2 linked regions of the Diceros bicornis minor genome follow. The protein of the gene in region 2 purifies or fractionates together with the protein of the main gene of each other region. This does not show direct contact. Links are inferred from orthologs where the notes say so. Each region holds a gene or a part of one and is shown on either strand. Other genes may lie near its edges. The genes, in order: KLC1 and KIF5B.

Evidence for each region.
Region 1: the proteins of KIF5B (region 2) and KLC1 purify together in Homo sapiens (co-immunoprecipitation; 11 studies listed by BioGRID and IntAct, counting the BioPlex papers as one, with this or other methods). This does not show direct contact. The link is inferred for Diceros bicornis minor from reciprocal best matches to the Homo sapiens genes KIF5B and KLC1.

Annotation. Positions count from the first base shown.
Region 1 is NC_080763.1:48,267,828-48,278,210, reverse strand, and holds the start of KLC1 (kinesin light chain 1), read right to left. Parts: upstream 5,640-10,383; 5' UTR 5,492-5,639; intron 1-5,491. UniProt on the Homo sapiens protein: Kinesin is a microtubule-associated force-producing protein that may play a role in organelle transport. The light chain may function in coupling of cargo to the heavy chain or in the modulation of its ATPase activity.
Region 2 is NC_080775.1:30,270,258-30,280,640, forward strand, and holds the start of KIF5B (kinesin-1 heavy chain), read right to left. Parts: upstream 5,176-10,383; 5' UTR 4,765-5,175; coding exon 4,639-4,764; intron 1-4,638. UniProt on the Homo sapiens protein: Microtubule-dependent motor required for normal distribution of mitochondria and lysosomes. Can induce formation of neurite-like membrane protrusions in non-neuronal cells in a ZFYVE27-dependent manner.

The sequences.
Region 1 (10,383 bases), on a different chromosome or scaffold from region 2:
CTTGGCGGCTGAGTGCTCGCGTTCCGCTGCTGGTGGCCCGGGGTTCAGATCCCGGGCACGCACCGACGCACCGCTTCTCGGGCCATGCTGAGGCCGCGTCCCACATACACCAACTAGAAGGATGTGCAGCTATGACATACGGCTATCTACTGGGGCTTTGGGGGAAAATAAATAAATAAATAAAAATTATAAAAAAAATAAAAAAATAAAAACAAAAACAGAGAAGACAACAGAAAGCAGAAACCATAAAAGAAAAAAATTGATAATGTGGACTTAATCAAAATTTAAAACTACTGACTATTAAAAGGCATAGCCGGAAAACAAATAGTTAAGTCCCACATTAGGAAAACGTTTTTTTCCTCAACATATGTATCTGGCAAAAGACTTGTACCCAAATATGTAAAGAACTCCTACACTCAAAAGACAAACCCAGTTTTTCAAATGGGCAAAAGACTTGCGGAGATGTTATTTAACAGGTATAGAGTTTTAGTTTTGCAAGATGAAGAAGTTCTAGAGATCTGTTGCACAACAATGTAAATACACTCAAGACTACTGAACTGTACACTTAAAAATGGTTAAGATGGTAAATTTTGTGTTTTTTACCACAATTCAAGAAGGATAGAAATTAACATATTTCTCCCCCGTTTGGTCAATAATACAAATCCTTTCCAAACAGGTAGAATAAGTGAACTTTAAGAGAAAACACACCACCTGTATTCACCATAAGAATAAAGAATCAACTTTTACTGACCACCTATTCTATGCCAGGCTCTGTGAAGAACACAAATACTACAATGCCAATATGGTGACCAAAACACCACACATGGAGTTACCATGACGACACTGCATTACCGGGGCTTTGGAAATGGAAAAACTGGGGCAAGGGTTTCCCAGGTGAAGGCAACTAGAGGACTGAGGTGAGCATTATAGTGATTCATGACAGCAAGGTGGGGCAATGCTTGAAATGTACAAGCAAAAGACTTGAGTTAGAAGCCTGACTTCTCAGCTGTGTACCTCTGGTTTAAGGAACTTGCCCTCTCTAGCCCTCAACTTCCTCAACAGTAGAAGAGAGGTGATTACAGCACCAATTTTATCTGGCATGGTGCTAACTTTACTATTATCATGCTAACTTTACTATTATCAGTTTTGTTAGCAGTAGTATAGTGAACTTTACGAGAGGCTGGGACATAAATTGCCACGTTATGCAATCAGAGTCAGGGAACAATCCAAGGTTTAAATTGAGGTAACTGGGATATTTTAGAATGAAGGAAATAACTTCTACTTTACATATGCACTTAACTCAGCTTAAAATGCTTGTTCCATTGATATTCACTTATCCGCTTTATTAAGTACGGACAACATACCGAGCATACAGTCATGCGACACATAAAGACATGTCAGTCAATGACGGAGCGCATCTACGACGACGGTCCCATAAGATTAGTATCGTATAGCCTAGGTGTGTAGTAGGCTATACCATCTAGGTTTGTGTAAGTACACTCTATGATGTTCACACAATGACAAAATCACCTAATGATACATTTCTCAAACATGTCCCCATCGTTGAGCAACACAATTGCATTTAAAAGCACAGATCCAAATTGCTTTCATCTGCCCCTAAAAATTAGTTAAAACAAAAATAAAATCATAATTCATTTTTGATCTAAGAGTCTATTATCCAGGAGGTTACAGGGCAGAATGACACAAGGATGCCTTGGGAGAAAGAATACAGGCCATCTTTGAACTAGCCCTCCTGCCGTAGGAGGCAATATTCTCAGGAAAAATTTGTTTATTTATTTTTTGAGGAAGATCAGCCCTGAGCTAACATCCATGCTAACCCTCCTCTTTTTGCTGAGGAAGACGGGCTCTGAGCTAACATCCATTGCCAATTCTCCTCCTTTTTTTTTTCCCCCCAAAGCCCCAGTAGATAGTTGTATGTCATAGTTGCACAGCCTTCTAGTTGCTGTATGTGGGACACGGCCTCAGCATGTCCGGAGAAGCGGTGCATCGGTGCGCGCCCGGATCCAAACCTGGGCCGCCACCAGCGGAGCTCGCGCACTTAACCGCTAAGCCACGGGGCCCGCCCCTCAGGAAAAATTTAAAGGGTCACTAATAACCTCATAGAAGCCAAATCCAGTATATTTTTCTGTCCAAATCCTCCCTGACTTCTTAGCCAATTTGCTATTGACCTCCTCCTCTTGCCTTTCCCAGGGCTCACTCCTCCTACCCTTAGGGCCACTTCAGTCTCTACTAAGTGTCAGATGCTCTCCTGGAGAGGTCATTATAGATGCTGCCTCTGGCTTTGGATAACATGGTGAGGTCTCTCAAATCTGTATCTCCAGCCCAAATCTTTGTCTTGAGCTCCAGACCTGAATCTCCAACTGTCCACTGGTCCACGCGGCCGCCCCACAAGCACTTCACATTTAAGCTATCCAGAACCATCTCACCAGCTTCTCCTCCTCCTCTCATTTTCCCCATCTTGGTGGGTGTCACCAGCCAGTGAGTCACACAGTTGGAGACGAGGAAGTAATTCTAGATGCAGTCCTTCAATAAACATTTATTAAGTGCTTATTACATGCCAAGCACTGACACTGACTACAACAGATAAAAATCCCCATCCTCGTGGAGCTTATGGATGTTAAGTGGAGAAAACAGACAATAAACTAAATAATAATTAAGTACAATAATACAGTATTGTAGCAAGAAGTACTAGGGAGTGTGTGGGGAAGTGAGGACAGTGACACCCAGGACAGCAGGCTTAGGATGCACCTGGATGTGCCTCAGTGAGGGTGAGAATATGAAGAGGGAAAGAGACAGGGATGCGGGTGCTTACAGGACAATGGCAAAAACTTCAGCAGAGAGACATGACCCGCCTTATGTTTTAGCAGTTCGCTGTGGCTGGGCACACTGCTGATCTGTCTCTTCCTGCCTGCAGCCCGACCCTTACCCCAATCCACTCAGTCCCAACTCAGGGCCACTCTAGTCCATCAATCCCTCTCTGACACATCTGTTCCTTTGTTCCTACTGTCACTGCCCTAACTCAAAAGTTTACAGTCCTCACTTGGGGTTAATGGCTTCCTAACTAGTCTTATCTCGGTTCAAAGCACCTGCCACACTGCCTATGCTCTTTCTAAAATGTCACCTCTCTCCTTAGAATCCTCCAATCGTCCTTCCTACCCTCAGGGTGAAAGCAACCCCCTTATGCAGGCTGTACAACACCTTTCCACTCACACCCCTTCCCAACACTCCCCTTTACTGCAGCACTACCTCAGGGCTTATGTCCTCCAGAACCACCAATCCCACCGTCATTTGGCCAATTTGTACTTTCCTTCCAGTCTCATATCTGGAATCCCCTCCTCAGGGCACTCAGCACAGTATTTAACCTAATCTGTAATACCTGTCGACTTCTCAACTTCTCCCATCTCCCTCGCCAGACTGTGAGCTCTTAGAAGTCTTATCTGTATATCCCCAACTACTTAACACAGCACCTGCCATTCGTTTGGTTCTCAAAAGATGTTTAAGACTGTGCTTTTACAATCTTAACATGCTAATCATTTTTAGTCTATGCCCTGAAATCTGACACCTAAAACTTTCCTGTATCTTGTTCAGAATATTACTGATCACTTCTTTGTAACATAAAGTTCTGGTTTCTCATCATATTCCACCTATGTTTGGAGGTTATAAAAATTCTACATTTTTTCAACTTTTGACTTTTCTATTTCTTGGGTTTTGTTTGACACAATTATATTTTAAGATAGTTTATAGCCCATATGGAAAGCTACACACTGACTTATCTATCTTTCAACATTATGAAACATTCTTAAGAATGTATAATTTTAAAAAAGAATGTAAACTTTAAGTAACTGTAGTTAAGTTTTTATTACTATGAAATATTTAAGATATTATATGCCCCTCCCCAGTGGCATTTCCTCCCTCCTCCTTGCTGGAGACTATCACTGTCCTCATTCCCGTGCATGTCTTTCTACCTTTACTACATACTGTCTACACTGTTTTTAGAAGACATTGCCAAGCAAGGTGAATGAGCCAGGCCGCAGTGAGGTTAACACCCTGGGTCCTCCACACCCCTCCGTAACAGCACAGGGCTGCCAGGCTCCACTGCAACATGATGTTGCATTCTTTGATGACTTGGAGAAACCGGCTCTTAAGAGTGCCTACCCTCCCACATATAATTCCACACAATCTGAAATTTGTAATATTTAGTATCACTGCATTCTTACAGATACTTAGGAAACAACAATGAATCAAATTTCCCACCCTAAGGCCTGTGGCCAGTGCCTGAAAAACATAAATCTGGAACTGTAATAAGATTATGAGATTTAAGGAGGTTGTTCCAATTTCCTAATGGGTTTTTCACTGAACTATTACAATGTATTCTGAGCTAATGACTCTGATCAATGGCTCAGTTATGCTGTACAAAAAAAAGCCTTGGAATTTAACTAATGCAAAGAATCAAAGAACCAACTGCCCATTTACCCAGCAGTTAAACGGTGTATCTCAAATTTTCTGTTGTTCTCACACTTTTTAAAAACATCATTTTTGCAAGTACTCTTTAAACTCTAAATGTGCTGTTTAAATAAAAAAACAGTAATAAGCAGCAACAATATAAAATTTCCAACACAAAACTACCTAGATCTACAAACCTTAAATTGTAAAACCATCCAATCCACCAGGCACTAATTTTACTTTTTTAGTCCTTTATTTAATATTTTCAAGGAAAGAGATGCACCACATTTGACAACCAACTAGATATTCCAGCACTGGGGCTGCTGTAAGTTTAGACGAACACTGAGGATGAAAGGTTACCCGTCTTGCTACTAAAAGAAAGGGATCGCCGAGGAGGCGAGGTCGAGCCGGCCTCTCGGGGGAACCCACACGCTTCCGACCCGCCCGGCCGCCGGTCGCCCGCGAGCCTGACAGGCGCGCCCGCCCAGGGCGGTGCCACGGGAGAGGGCGGCGGCCGGAAGGAAGAGGGAGGATTCGGACAAAGCAAACGCGGCCGGCCGCCCCCTCCTGCCCGCCGCGTCCCGGGGGCGGCCACATCCCCCGTCGCGCGGCTCCCGGGACCACAGCTGTTCCCGGGCGCGGCCGCCCCCGCCCGCAGCAGGGCCAAGCCGTGGATGCGGGGCTGGGGCGGGGCTGGGGCGGGGACCCGAGCCGGGATGGAGACGCGCACGGGACCCGAATCTGGAGCGGACGTGAATGGGGCGGCGGCCAGGGACGGGAAAAGATCATGGATGAGGACCGAGGTCCGCGGCCCCGGGAGGGGGCCGGGAAGCGGACAGGAAGGGGACGTGGATGAGGACCGCGGTCTGCGGCCCGGGGAGGGGACCGGGAACGGGAAGGCAAGAGGAATAACCACGGCTGAGGACCGAGGACTGGGCCCGGGGCGGGGTCGGGAGAGGGCCTGAGGGCGACAGGGGTGAGGACGGGGACCGAGGAGGGGACGCGGGTGAGGCCCGCCCGCACTCACCGTGCTGCTCCGCCGGCCGCGCGCTCGCGCTGTCAGCACCGGGAGGCCGCGGCGCGTGCGCGGAGCGGGACTGCGCGGGCCCGCCGCCTGGACGCCTCAGACGCGGCGCCGCGGTCACGAGCGAGGGATGCCGGCGCGGCCGCCCCGCAGCATCCTCGGCCGCCCGCCCGCGCTGTCCCCGCGGCTCCTTCTCGCAGCCGCCGCCCCGCACCCAGCCGGCTCCGGCTCTGCCGCTCCCGCCGCCGAAAATGGCGTCTCCGCGTCCCTCCCCCGGCTGGGCGCTCCCGCCCCACAATGCCGCGCGTCGCCGTGACGTCATGCCGGGGGCGGGCCCGGGGTGGCTCCCGCGGCGCTTGGCTAGCCGAGGACCGGGTGCGGTCGGGGCCGGCTGTCCACGCGAGGGGCGGGGCGTGTGCCGGCTGTCCACGAGAGGGGCGGGGCGTGTGCCCGCCGTGGGTGGCCCCGCGCGGGCGCGGCTGCCCCCGACCACCTAGCGCCAGGCTGTCGTCCCTCCCGGCGCGCGGTTGGGAGTGTGGCCTGAGGACGGCTCCGGCCCAGCATGGCCGGTCGGTCAGCCCTGCGTCCCGTCCATTCCCTCCTATACCAGGAACAACGCTGTGTGGCAACCCCGTATGCACGTGTGTCATGTGCTCGTCTGCTTCTTTCCAGAACACGTTAGGAGGGCTCTCACCAGCGCCTCCAGAGGACAGAATGCTGAGAGGCTAGGCTAAGCCAGGAGGCCTTTCTCCCTCCTCCAGGAAAACCTACAGCCTTTGGTCAAGACCCGGGACCCCAGACCCCTGCGCCTTCCCATCTCGTTACTCCCTCTCCCCAGGACCATTGCAGCCTCAGAAATAGAGGGGAATTTCGGGGCCCTCCCGTCAGCCACAAAGGCCTCCCACGAACTGCACCTCAGTCTGGTAAGAGAGACCGGGATGCTTAACCACTAGTGCCTGCAAGAGCAGAGATGCCACTCCCTGCTGTCGCACCCCACCGGCGCCATCGCCCGCGCACACACCGGGCTGCAGTGCCACAACCTCCAGCCCCCGCCTGAAGGGCAGTACTTCCAGGTCAGAGAGAGCCCCTGGCCTCATCCTGCTGCATCGCGAGCTCTGCAGGCCTGACTCAGCAGCCAGCCAGGAGGAAGCATGCTGAATCAGTGCGCAAGGCTCAGTTGTCTTTGCCTGCCACCAGCTTGGGAGAACCGCGCCCCAGGTGCCTGCAGATGTCCCAAGTGCAGGGCCCCGTTAATCAGGAGGGGTTCCTGTGCCAATCTCCCACCCCCATTCGCTCTTCAACTGCTCTTCAGATGTTATCACCCAGCCCTGCCGCCCTGTTTTAACCCCGCAATTACACAGTCACGGAGAAGTAAGTTCTCCTAGATTTTCACAGGGAGGTCCAGTTACTTTGCTTTCGTTTATAAATGCAAAGAAGAGGTAAAAAGGGGGGAGTTCCTACAGTGACACAGCAGTTACTGGGCAGAGGGAGAGGCAGTGAATCAGAGTCAAACAACCCCTCCACACTCTGGTAGTGATTTGGCCACACTGCAGCTTGGATGTCACCTGCTCCTCAACCACTTTGGAGCTGGGCGAGGCAGCTGTGACCAAAGTGCTCTGGAGAAGAGAGGAGCCGAGGCTCCTTTCTCTGTCTGTGACTCTGGACTCAGTAACTGTCCCCAAGCTAGAAACCTGAGATGCTTATGCCCTCTTCTGATGGGTGGCCAAGAATCTACCTCCTTAATGTTGCTTTACTCCATCCCTTCTCCATCCCCACTGCTGCCACTCTGTTTAGGCTTTATTGTCTCGTTCTTTTATTCTCTCAACAAATATTTGTTGAGCTGCGGTGGTCCGCACGATACGAGCCAAGATATGTTGGTAAACAGGATAGTAAGATCCCTGCTCATGCAGTGCCATGCAGAGAATTAAAGTAAGATGATGCAACAGGCAGAGGCGAGGTGGTCGGGGTGAACTCTGAGGCAGGCAGGTGCGCTGAGACTTAAATAGTAGGCAGGAGCCAACGGTGCAAAGCCTGGGGGAGAACACGCCAGGCACAAGTCCTCAGGCAGGAATGAGTCTGCAGTATTGGGGAAAAGAAAGAAAAGGCCAATTCATCCACCACATCCTGAATCTGACCACGTCACTTCCCTGCTGAAAATGCTGCGATGCACCTATCCCTCTGAGAGTGGCGGGGCTGGCGCCTTCCTCACCCAGCGTCTCAAACTAAGACTAACAAGTCCTGCCCTCACTGAGCTGCCCTGCCCTGAGCGTCCTCAGTCCCTTTCAATCCTCTGCTCCTCACAGAAACTCCGAGAGAGGTGCTGTTATCCCCATTTAACAGATGCTGCAGCTGAAGCCCTGCAAGTTCCGTGGTTTGCTTGCTGCTTCCCAGAGAGGGAGTAACTCAGCTTTAGGAATCAAAACAGAGCCCTGCTCCCAGTGCAGGCACTAGCAGAGCCAGGAGTCAATGCCTTTGTGGTGGGGGAGCCTCAGCAGAGCTACTCACAGGCAGCAAACCCATTATCTGTTCTTCCCTACAAACCCAGAGGACCAGGGCCCAGGGAAGCAAACACCTGTTTGCACAAGTCCTAGTGGCCTCTGAGCATCCCTGTGGCCAACAGCCTGCTGAGTTAGCTAGGGTCCTGGTGGGGTAGGACTGTGCCCCAGGGGGCAGCCAGGGACCTTTGGCCAGGGCCCAGCCCGCACCCCACCCCCATGCAGCAGGACTAGGGGTTCCTCCAGCAGACGTGAGAGCAGGGAGCAGGCTCTCTCCTTGCTCCCTTGTAAGCGCTCTTCCATTTTGGAAAAGGCATCCTGCGTGGTGTGAGCCAGCTCCTCCTCCTTCTCTCTGCCTGTCTCTGTCTCTCCATCCTCCTACTTTCCCCAAAGGGAGAGGCTGTGTCCTCTGCCCTCATCTGTTTCTGTCTCCTTCCCAGCTCTGACTCTTTCACTCTCCTGCTCCGAAACCTGACAGATCAACAGGCAGCCTGGAGATCTAAACAGAGGCTGGGGCTGGAGTACAGATTTGGAGGCAGCCTACAGTGCGCAGATGAAGCTGGGGCTGAGGTCCCTGGTCCAGGAAGAGTGAAAACATCCACACGCGTCCAGTGATGCAACACTGACCTCCTGCGGTTTGCCAGGCACCTGGACGTCAGAGATAAACCAGGAGCATACAGTCTCCCAATCATTCCGTTCCCAATATTTATGGAGTACCACTAGTGTCAGGTGCGAGGCTGCGCAATGGGAGAACAAGGCGCCCCTGTGTGGGGGAGCCGACAACCCGCGGGAGCAGAGACAGGAGGCCTGGTTCAGGCGCTGAGCGGGGAAGCTGTATGTCCCTCAGGGATCAGGGGACTCCATGGAAGAGGAACATTCACATGGTAGGTGGGAAGGACCCAGCAGATGAAGGTCCAAGTGGGGGAACTGCAGGAAGAGATGCACAACGTGGAACCAACCACACAGTCTCATTTTGGCAGCCTGGTGGGGCTGGGAAGCTGTACTTGGGTGTGTGTCCTTGGGATGGGAGTGGTGACCTGTCTGAGTGGCCTTGTCAGGAGAGGGGCTGCACACACATGGAGGGACAGGAGCTGGGAGGGTAAGCAGAGGCAGTGCAGCCAGGACTCCCCCAGCTCCCCGCCAGCCAGCTGCGTTCCCCTGTCCCCCTCTCTTCCAGGGCGGCCTCCTCCCACCCCCTCCCCCAGCCTGGCCCCCACCTCTCACCCTCATTCTGGCCAATGCCTAGCCTGCATGAGGCAGGGGATGAGGGGCTGGTGCGCCTCATCTGGGGAGGGGCAGCCTGGTGTCTGGGCCAGGGCTAATCCGGGCTCCTCTGCCTTGCTCTCCACCACAAGCCACACCCTCTCTGGTCTCTGGCTTCAGTTTTGAAAATGGCATTTATCAGATTTTCAGGGTGTTTTTCCTTTAAAGAGCTGCAGCTGCTGGCATTAAGCCCCAGTGACTGCGCCTTCGCCTTCGGACAAAGGGGAAAACAGCAGCACTTTGAGTAGGAAGGAAGTGGGAGGAGGGAGTGGGTTGGCTCTGGGGGGAAGCCCAGCCTGCTCCCTCAGTCTCTCTCTCACACATTTTTCCCTGATGCAGGGGGATTGAGGCCTGGGTCCTGCTTGGTGAAGCTTGGCTCCTGCAGGAGTTCCAGGGTCCCCAGCATTCCTGACCAGTCACCTCCACACGCCCTCTGGGCCAGCCTGATTCTGAGTACAGCTGAAGTGAGGCAGCCGGTTCCAGGCTGAAGCCTTAAGAAGGCCCCGGAGATTTCACTTTTGTGCTTTTCAGAACCTGAGTGGCCATGTAAGAAGGCCAGCTGCCCTGCTGGAGAGGCCCAGACATCCCTGTCCCCTGAGCGCTGCCTTCTGGCTGTCCCCTGGGGCACCAGGCCATGAGGGAAGCCGTCTTGGATGGTGAGACCAATGTACAGAGCCATCCGTGGGACCCAGGATGTCTCCAGATGAGGACTGATGCTTCAATGCAGGCAGGGAGGGCAATGGAGCCTGTGCTAGAGAAAGATCAGTCTGGCTGTGTCTGCATTTGTTGTCCCCAAATGTGTCAACAGACAGAAAAACTTGTATAGCAAACTCACACATACCCACCACTGAGATTCCACAATTAGCCAATGGGCCTTCTTTGCTTTGTTCTGTTTTGTTTGACTATAGGTTAGTTTTGCCTGTTCTAGCATTTTATATAAGTGGAATCCTACCGTATCTGCTTTTTGTATCTGGCAACTTTCACTCAACTAATAGTGTTGACGTTCATCCATGATGTTGTGTGTTTGACGGTCTCCTGTTGATGAGAACCTGAGCTGCTTCCATTTTGGTTCATATGAAAGAAGCTGATCTGAACTTTCTCATGCAAGTCTTTTGGGGAACACATATTTTCATTTCT
Region 2 (10,383 bases):
AGTCATATCTCCATTTTCACATCAATAAAAAACAGTGCTCATAAACCATTTAGAAAGAGATATGCCAGGGGCCAGCCCCGTGGCGTATGGTTAAGTGTACGCGCACTCCGCTGCGGGTGGCCTGGGTTCGGATCCTGGGTGCGCACCGACGCACCGCTTGTCAGGCCATGCTGTGGTGGCGTCCCACATCAAGTGGAGAAAGATGGGCACCGATGTTAGCTCAGGGCTGATCTTCCTCACAGAAAAGAAAGAGGGAGGGAGGGAGGAAGGAAGGAAGGAAGGAAGGAAGGAAGATATATGCCAAAAATAACAGGCAACTGTAAAGCCTGCCTCAAAAGTACTTTATGCAGCTGTTTACTTCAGCATCACCTCATAGCAAATATGTAAACTACTACTACAATCTTATTAAAATAAGAATATGAACATGCAAAAATAAGAATAATCAAGTGGAGACTGAGTGATTTTGTAAAGGTGTTATATCACTGTTAAATAAAAAATTGACTTAAGTGCTTAGCATGAAGTTGACAAAATTGTCTTATTTTAATTCTGAAACTATATTATAATCTTATTAAGTAAGGCAAACGTTTTGATTAGAGATCTAGCTATAAAGTTACTAACTAACCCTTCCTTCCTGGGATGAAAAACAAGACTTGTAAAACATAAAAACCATTTGGTCTAACCAATAGGTCTTAATTATAGACCTAATGGTCTATAATTAAGGCACATCTCTTAACTAATAATCCATCAAATAAACAAAGGAAAACTCAGTATCTGGACACCTGTATTTTAAAAACCTGGTTCTTTAAAAACCTTTGAAATGTACATTATGCAGCCCTTATTTCTATGAATATTCAAAGATACTCGAAGTCACAAGATGCATTCACATCTGACTTAGACTTCCAGGGGACAAAACCAAATAAGAATAAATTTATTTGAACTGTAACCATATCTTAGATTTCTTAAGCTAAGTGGTTCCTGTTTGAGTCTGCACAGACCAGGCTGAACACCAAATTTGGTTATGAAGGACACCCTTCTGGCAGGGATATGCCTTTCTCTGGAATTCTGAGTAGTGATCTTGAGATCACATGGGATTATATCACACTAGATTTTCCTTAGTTTGACACTGATTGTGGGCTAACATTCCACAACTGTAAAGGTCTGTGATGATGGCTCCTTCTCTTTTAATTTCACTCTTATGGTAATCAGGATCAAACACCAAATCATCATTCACTTGAAAAGGGAAATCGTGTGCTACAGGCAAGGAACTAGGTGAGAATTAAGTTTATTCTCCTCTAATTTCAATGAACTACAACAGCCTAATTTTTGTTCTGGCAGCCTCTACAGCATACCATATAAGGAATGATGATTAGTAAACATACTTAATGATGTAAACATGCATGTTCCACTATTATGATGCATAAATAGATACAGGAGTAATTTTTTCTACCGACATTTTCCCCAACGTTTTCAGCAGGCTCATTTGAACTACATAAGGTGTTTCCCTTGCCCTCTCTTTTTTGTGGATAACAAGTTCTCTTATTTAAAGCAAACAGATTCTACCTGTATCACCTAAAGGCTTTAATAAAATAATTCATTTATTTCATTCAATATGTGATTATTTATAGCAGTTCACCAAGCACTTAATTACAAAAAAAATCTGTATAAACACAAAACACAGAGAAACACTATAAGATTATAAGATTTGCCTGCCATGAGGTTGCATTATACTAAAATCACATTACATGTGTAACAAGAAAAAAGTTTGGACAAAGTATTGGAAACTGAACTTAGATGAAAATCAGAATCCTTAAAAGTTATTTTCTACATGAGCACTGATTATACTTATAATTCTGTAACATTATAAACTAAAATACTTATTCTTTAAATTTTGATTTAACTAGAAGACTGTGAACAAAATGTTTTTAAATCATGTTTAAAATAATTTAGTTTTAAATGCTGCACAGAAGCAATTCCTTCTTAACTATTTATTTTGAATCAGATCAGGATCCAGTAAAATGAACAAAACAAACCAAGAGATGATTTTACCTAGAGCTTTTCTAATTTCATTCCTCCCAGCTGCCCTTATAAATTCCCAAACAATCTTTCAAAAAATAAAATGATTCTGGGGCTGGCCCGGTGGCACAGTGGTTGAGTTCCCGCACTCCATTTCAGTGGCCCAGGGCTTGCGGGTTCGGATCCCGGGCAAGGACTTCGACAGCGCTCATCAAGCCATGCTATGGCGGCATCCCACATACAAACTGGAGGAGGATTGGCACAGATGTTAGCTCAGGGCCAATCTTCCTCAGCCCCCCAAAAAATAATAATAAAATAATTCATTTAAAAAACTGAACAATATGAGACCTCAGAGTAATTAATAACTTACTATATGCAAAAGATTAGTTCCTGCAAATAATAAACTAAACATGTTGCCTTACAATTTTTAAGGCTATGTCACTCAGTTGTATTTTTGCTTATACTTTTTAAAAAAACCAAACTAAAATGCTTACTAGTTTACCTAAAGGCCAACTAACTGCATTACTGATTCACAACGCAATCACCTATTCATTATTTCTAATATTATCATTTAAATTTATTTATACTACTAAAGAAATTTATATAAGGAACTTATGATAACTTTATCCAAAGAAAACAACCTAGAACTAATGTGTGCTTCCTGTGGTAATTATTTATTTTCCTTTAGCTCTTTCTTCATATTTTATGTCATATTTGGGCTGCTTCAGAAGGCTGTCTTCTAACCTAATCTTAATACATTTTGTCAATTCTAAATTCTAGCATTCCAACAAATGAATCTTAGTGATACCTATAGATTTGTGTAAACACACACATACGAATCTAGAAACATAAGACATTCTTAACACAAGTCTAAAAGGAAAATAGCTTTGATGTGTCAACCACTGTTGAGGTTGAGTAATCACAAAAACTCTTCGTGAGAAACTGGTAGCCTCAAGTTTGCCCACTAACAACCCAGGCCTTGCAAGCTTCCTCCGATTCTATGTAAAACACGTCATCCTAAAGAAAGTAATACTTCTGTGCTTAACTTATTGGCCTCACTCTGATGACATTATGGCAAGAGTTTTTGCGGTCTTGTTAACAAAGAACCAGCCTGACAGTCTGCACAGTAGTAGCTGGCTGGCAGTTGTTAGTAACCTAATGGCTCATTTGCCAAAAGCCTACGGAGCAACTTTGGAGCTATGACATTCATTTTTTAAAGCTGAGCTTTGGAAACTTTCCCATAAAAGCTCTAAAGAACTTTAGCCAGTCTTATATGTCAATGCTTTTAATCATCAATGTCCCATCTCCTGTGACACTGTCCTATTTCCAAATTAAACTCTCCACAAACAATATGCTAAACACAGAATGCCATAAGAGAAAAAACTAACGTTAAAACTTTTTACCATGATAGCATGGTATGTAGAATATACCATATATAGAAAATATAATATATAAAATAATATACCAATATAGAAAAAAGTTCTGCCACATGGCATTACCGAGAAAGATGAATTTAATTTTTAGTCACAGTTCACTGTTCTGTATGCAGTTTCTTAATATTCATTTTAATCTCCTTCAACTGGGAATGTTATTTTCAGAGACCTTTCAATACCAGAGATCAGACTTCAAAAAAAAAAAATCAACCTTACATTCTAGTCTCCCTTACAATGATTCAGCCAACTCTGGTTATATTTTATACTACAAATGGACAATATCTCTCACCATCCTTGGGAGTATCAAAATTAATTTTCTTCAAGATGGATCTTAACTGTAGAAATAGGAATCTAATACTAACAAGAAATCTAGTTTACTGGTCAAATTTTATCTTTTTTTAAAAGCTTGCTTTTATAATACTTTGTCTGATATACACACAAAAAAGCTAACACTCTTCCCTAGACTGTTACCCCATAAAACCTGGGCACTTACTTGACCCGAACTGAATTGGCTAGATTTGCAAGAAGATTAAACAAAGTTGATCACTCAGATTTTAAAAGAAAACTCAAGATTCTTTTTACAGTCCTCGATTAGTCATTTTTGTCAACATGAAAATTCATTCATCACTCAAAAGGCGGTGGTTAAACATTTGAGAAGCAGGTATATTTGTAGTTGTTTGATCGTTTTTCCTTCTCCCGCGGGAGAAACAAAATATAGCTCAACATGCAGTTATGTTTCTATAAACTGAATATCTTTACTATCTAAGGTAGAGCAGGGCTGATTTAGAGCTCAACGTTCCTAGCTGAACTTTAATCTCCCCTACTTTACGAACGGCAAATTTGAGGGTGGTCCAACACACCACCGGCCTCAGCCCAACAAACGCACACGCACAGACACCCTGGCAATCGCATGCACTGAACTCGCTCCCCGGACAGTTCCTCCAGCGCCCCAGGTAGGGGAGTGTCCCGGGCGGAACCGGGCGCCTCCCGTCTGCCGGCGCGGAAGCAGGGGTGGGGGCGACCAGGATGAGCCGGGGGCTGCAGTCGCGCTCCCCTGGGGGATCGGAGCCTGCAGACTCCCGGGGCTCTGGGACACCACCGTTCTCTCATTCTGCACCCGCCCCTTCCCCAAGCTCCAGGCCCCGTCAGGCCCGAGGGCGCGGGACGGCGCGTGGGGGTGCGGGTCACTCACCGCCATCATGACCGTGTCTTCTCCCTGAAACTTGGCGACGTACTTATCGCCGCGGTTCACCTCGGACTCGTTGAGAGGTCTGAAGCGACACATCACTTTGATGTTGCACTCGGCCGGGTCCGCCATCTTCCTTGCTGCCGCGGCCGGAGGCCGGGAGCCACTCCCTGCCGCTCAGTCTTGGAGGAAGCAGGCCCGAGCTGAAGGTCTGGGGTCGCGAAGGCCGAGACAGGAGCAGCCCGCCGCGTCGCGCTTCCCCCGGCGGGAGCGGCCGGGGAACCGGGACTCGAAGCGCCGGCCGGCAACCGTCGCCCTGAGGCTCACTTCCGATCCATCATGGCAGCCATGGCGGCGCCGGGTGGAGCGTCCGCGGCTCCTCGGCCTCTTCCTCGCCGGCCTGGGCACGCGGCGGGGATTAGAGGGATCCTGCAGACCGGGGAAGTGGCCCCCTCCTTCTTCCTCGGAGAGAGCACGCCGGGCCCACCGTCTGCCCTCCCGGCAGACCACTCGCCGGCTTGCCGGCTGCCTCCCGATCACTCCTAAGGCTGCGGAGGGGCGACGGGGCGGTGGGATGGGCGGCGCGGGAGGAGCATGGCGCATGCGCGGAGGGCCCCTGCGCCCGGCGACCAATCCGCGGCCGAGCCGGGCCGCGCCGCCGCCAGTCTCCGCCCGGGGGTCGCAGATTCGAGTGTTACTGGACGGTCCCTCACCGCAGTAATTTCGGTCACCCGGCTGCCGCTTCCCTCACCATCTGGCCGCCGAATTCCCCAGAACTGAAGCAGACGCATTTAGCTTCCTATTTTTTAGGGGACAGGGAGTCTTTATAACTAGTTTATTTTGTAGTTTGTTCACATAAAATACTATATTTCTATAAGGAAATGTTTGCTTCTGGCTGGTCTGGAGATGAAATTGATTTCTAGCCCACCCTCTCAGAGCGCTTTGCCAGAAAAAGGAAGATTTGAATGAGGGATGGGACATGGCACTCTGGTTTAAGTGGTTGCTCTTTCCTGAGAGAGAGGGTTGGGGAGATAGGAATAAGAAAGAAAAAAGGAATTTCTCCTAAGGAATGAAGGCGGTTGCTGAAGAAATGTCAAAGAGTAGGATGAGGTGGGAGAAGGCCCTCAGTGACTCGGAGGTTCCGCTTCCCTGGGAATAAATAAACGTATGGAACTCGTCAGTCTCAACACTAGAAATGACTGACCTGGAGCGTCAAGATGGTCTTAAAAGGCCTGGATAAATTTGTGGATTACATGTCTAAGGAAAACCACTCCACAGTTGATTTCGCCTCCAATTTTCAGAACACGGATACCATAAAAACTCCTCAGGTAGAAGTGGCTCTGAGGTGCTGTGGAAGGAGAGCTACAAAAACAATTAGGAACCCTTCCTCTGGTCCCCAATTTTTGTTTGTAAAATGAAGGATTGGACTATGAAAACCTCCAATGCCCTCTGTCCTCACCGAATCATCCAGAAATGAATCCATAGTCCAACGAATTCAGGTTTATTGATCCACTGCGATGAGGGAGAGCTCACACCAGAGGAACCATGGGGCCTCTTGCCAAAAAAAGGAAAAGATGGAGTTGTTACAGGGCGTTGGGGGAAGTGTGGAATTTAGGTAAAATTTAAATGAAGCTGTGTGTTCGATGGGCTCTGAACAAAGCAGAGCTGTGGTCCCAGGTCTGGACTACAAGCGGACCCAAGGTCCTGTTTCCTTGGAAACTACCAAGTTAAGATAGATATGGAATGTTGTCTTCAGAAACCCCTTTTCCAAAGCTCTACACCTGGCTTGGAAATCAATCAAGACTGATTCTCTGTCTTAGATCCTCTAGGCAAGAGTGGAATGCTTTATTCTTACCGATATAATTTCAAACAGCAGTTTCTAATAGTCTATGATTTTAGAGAACCAAGTCCTCAGTGAGTAAGAAAGCAGTAGTCACTCCAAGAAGGAGGTTGTTGTGGCAGGTGGGCCACCAGTTTTCAACCTTTGCAAGCAGAATCTCATGAAGGCTCTGTCCTCAGCCCTCTGCTCTTTTCTCTCTGTGAAAAGAGAGAGAAGCTTCAACAATTGCTGGAATCTCTTATCTACAACCCTGATCATGTCACCTGTGTGATATTCCCATCTCTCCAGCTGCTTGTAGGCCACTTTGTTTAGGATGCTCAACCTTAACCTCAAATTTAGCATTCCAGAGATGAAATTAATTATCCTCTACTGCCTGCCAACACTTAATTCAACTACTCAACTTTCTAGTTTTGATGACCAGTATCAGCATTCTTCCATACTCCCAGGCTAAAAAAGTTGCAATCACCTGTTACTTCACTATTTCCTTCACCTCCTGTACACGTGGAAGAGAAACATGGTCTGCATCTGAAGTTCCTCAACTTCCCCTCCACCATTCCTGTTTGTTCCCCAACTCAGAAAATCTGAGGAATGATTGTTCTAGAGCAGTGATTTTCAAATTCTATTACATGGAACAGGGGCTCCAAAGAGGTGGCTCAGGAGATTTCATGGGTGTGGGGAGGGAAAGGAGGTGAATGGAAGGGCCAAGGAGTGAAGCTCCGGGAACCTCTGCTGCTCAAGACAGTTCTGTTGCCTTTCAACATTTGCCCCTTCCTTCCTCCTGCACAACAGATTCTGGAAGCTCAGCCTTTATGAAAACAAAATCCAGAAAGGGAAGTATCTGCAAGAGGCTTCTGCTTTCGGATCTGACATACACACTTCTGGGGAAGGCAGCACAAAGAGCCTGACTCAGCACAGGACCGGGAAGGTGAAAAATGCTATGTGAAAAACAATATATTTCTAAAAATTGTCCTGTCACACTAGTGAGGAATAGTGGTATCAGGCAATAGAGTTTAAGAAATATTTTCATAAGGAAACAAAAGATTGATTTAAAAAAACCTGGTTAATCCCAGTTTTTCTTCCAAATATGGAAAGGACCACCATTATTCAACATTGGCAGTGAAACAGCAGGTTTCCCTGAGAGTACAGTTTGAGACTCATTAACGTAACTTTTTTTTATGAAAATGAGTGGTACCTGCATCTATGCAGATTTAGAGCCTGAAATCTCCACTGTGGAAGTTAGCCACTACAGATAGTCTTCCAATGAACCACGCCTACCTGGATTCACACCATTGTGGAGTCTCTTTCCTTGAATCTTGGCTGGCCCTTTGACTCACTTGTAACCAATATAATGTAGCAGAAGTGTGACACTATGTGCTATCTGAGACTGGGAAGAAGCCTTATAGCTTCCACTTAAGTCTCTTGGAACACTCTTTCAGGGAGCTCTGAATTGCCATATAGGAAGACCCACTCCTCTGAGAACACCATGCCAGAGAGGCCATATATACGTAGGCACTCTAGTCAATAGTTCCAGCTGATCCCAGCCTTCCAGCCATCCCCACCCAGGCACCAGACTTGTGAGGGAAGCCACCTTAAACTTTCCAGACCAGCACATCCACCAGTTGATTACCAGTGAGTAATCTCAATTGACACAGAAGAATCACCCAGCTGAGGCCTGCTCAAATTCCTGATCCATAAAATCATGAGATGTAATAAAATGGTTATTGTTTTAAGCTACTCAATTTTGAAAATTTGTTATATAGCAATAGATAACTGGAATAATAACCTATGACTTGGAACTTTATCTCCTGGAAATAATCCTCTAAAACGTTACTTATGTATAATAGATGTACTTAGATTGGACTATATTTTATTTATTTATTTATTTATTTATTTATTTATTTGGTGAGAAAGATTAGCCCTGAGCTAACATCTGTTGCTGATCCTCCTCTTTTTGCTGAGGGAGATTGGCCCTGGGCTAACATCCCTGTCCATCTTCCTCTACTTTGTATGTGAGAGGCCTGCCACAGCATGGCTTGATAAGTGGTGCATATGTCTGCACCTGGGATCTGAACCTGCGAGCCCCAAGCCACCAAAGCGGAGTGTGCTAACTTAACCTCCATGCCACTGGGCTGGCCCCAGATTGGACTATATTTTAGAGTTATTATAAATAGTTGGAGGAGGTATAAGAACATAACCACTGTTTATGACATTATTACTGTAAGAAAATTTGTTTCATATTTAATGTGAAGTGACTTTTTAAAAAAGGGTATTTAGGATTGGCCCCGTGGCCTAGTGGTTAAGTTCAGCGTGCTCCACTTCAGCGGCCCGGTTCGGTTCCTGGGCGCAGATCTACAACATTCGTTGTCAACCATGCCGTGGTGGTGACCCACATACAAAATAGAGGAAGATTGGCACAGATGTTAGCTCGGGGTGAATCTTCCTCAGCAAAAAAATAAAAAAATTTAAAAAATGGGCATTTAGAATGGGAAATTATAATATTTCACTTTTTCAAATGTGTACAACAGATGCCTGTTCCTTTCCATTTCCACTACCCTTTTCTAGTTCAAGGCTCTACTACTTCATTCCTAGATTACTAGATTAGTACAACACCTCCCAGCCTCTTTCCCATTTGATCATTCAGTAAATATGGATTGAGCTCCTGCTATGAGCCTGGCACTGAGATGGCTGCTGGGGATATAATGGTGAAAAAGACTAAACAATTTCCTCCCGTATCCACTAGTTTGCATGAAATTTTCCGATTAAATTTCCTAAAACATTGCTTTTATTACTTCATTTCATTGCTCAAGAACCTACAACTCCCTTTTTTCTTACTCAAATAAGTCCAAATTCCTCTACTTAAATTCCAAAGCTTTCTATCATCTGACTTCCCCTTGTATCAGTAGGATTTTCCCACTGTTTTACAACTTGCTTTCTTGACTCCTGACAACTGGCATTTTCACTATCTCCTCCTACACAGGTCATACTGATCTCACCCTGAGTGTCTCTCCCTTATGTCCATCCAAATCCTATCTATCTTTCCTCAAGTCCCACTTCTGCAAATGGTATTTCTGCATAAATTATTTCACAGGTCAGACAGAAAATCCCTGAACTCTCCTTAATACCATAGTTTAATTCTTTAAAACATATTTTTAAAAATATTTTTATCAAAATAACATATTCATAGTTTTAAAGTAAAATTACACAACAACATTGAAAAATAGAAGTTTTTGCTCCACTTGCTCCAATCTTAATTTCTATTCTTCGGGCCACTCACTTTAACTCTTTTGGCAATTTCTTCTGGTATTTACTTCCATGTTTCTAAATAACATTCTTTTACTGCTGCTTCTTGATTTATTCATTATTTATTCTTATTAAATGAACTTATAACTCCTTCACACTGCCCCTTATCTAAATCAAGACGTACACTGTCTTCCCCTTATCTTCTCAATATATTTGTATCACCATTTTTAGTTAAATTAGTATATAGTGTTTATATTCTAAGTAATTATTATTCACAGCTTAGCTATATAATTATGCCACTATAATTACATTGCCTATTTTGTACAACTTTTTGTCTTTTCTAGAGTTAATGCTTGCCTCACTTTTTCCCAGTTGTTTACTGCTAATACATTCCAAATCTCCACCAGAAGTATAAAGCTACCCTTGATATTTTGAAGGCATTTGTCCATTGTCTTTTAAGTCCTATTGTTGTTGAGAAGTCTGATTCCTTCTGGGTCCTGATCATTTGTATGTGACCTATATTTTTCTTCCAGGCAGCTTTTAGTATCTTTTTATATATACTTCTGTCTTTTTTTCTTCCCCTATTTTCCATCTCTTTGGTTTTTTGTTCTCCTTCTTGGGAGAGTCTCTCAAGTTTATTTTCAACTCTCTGTTGGTTATTATATATATAT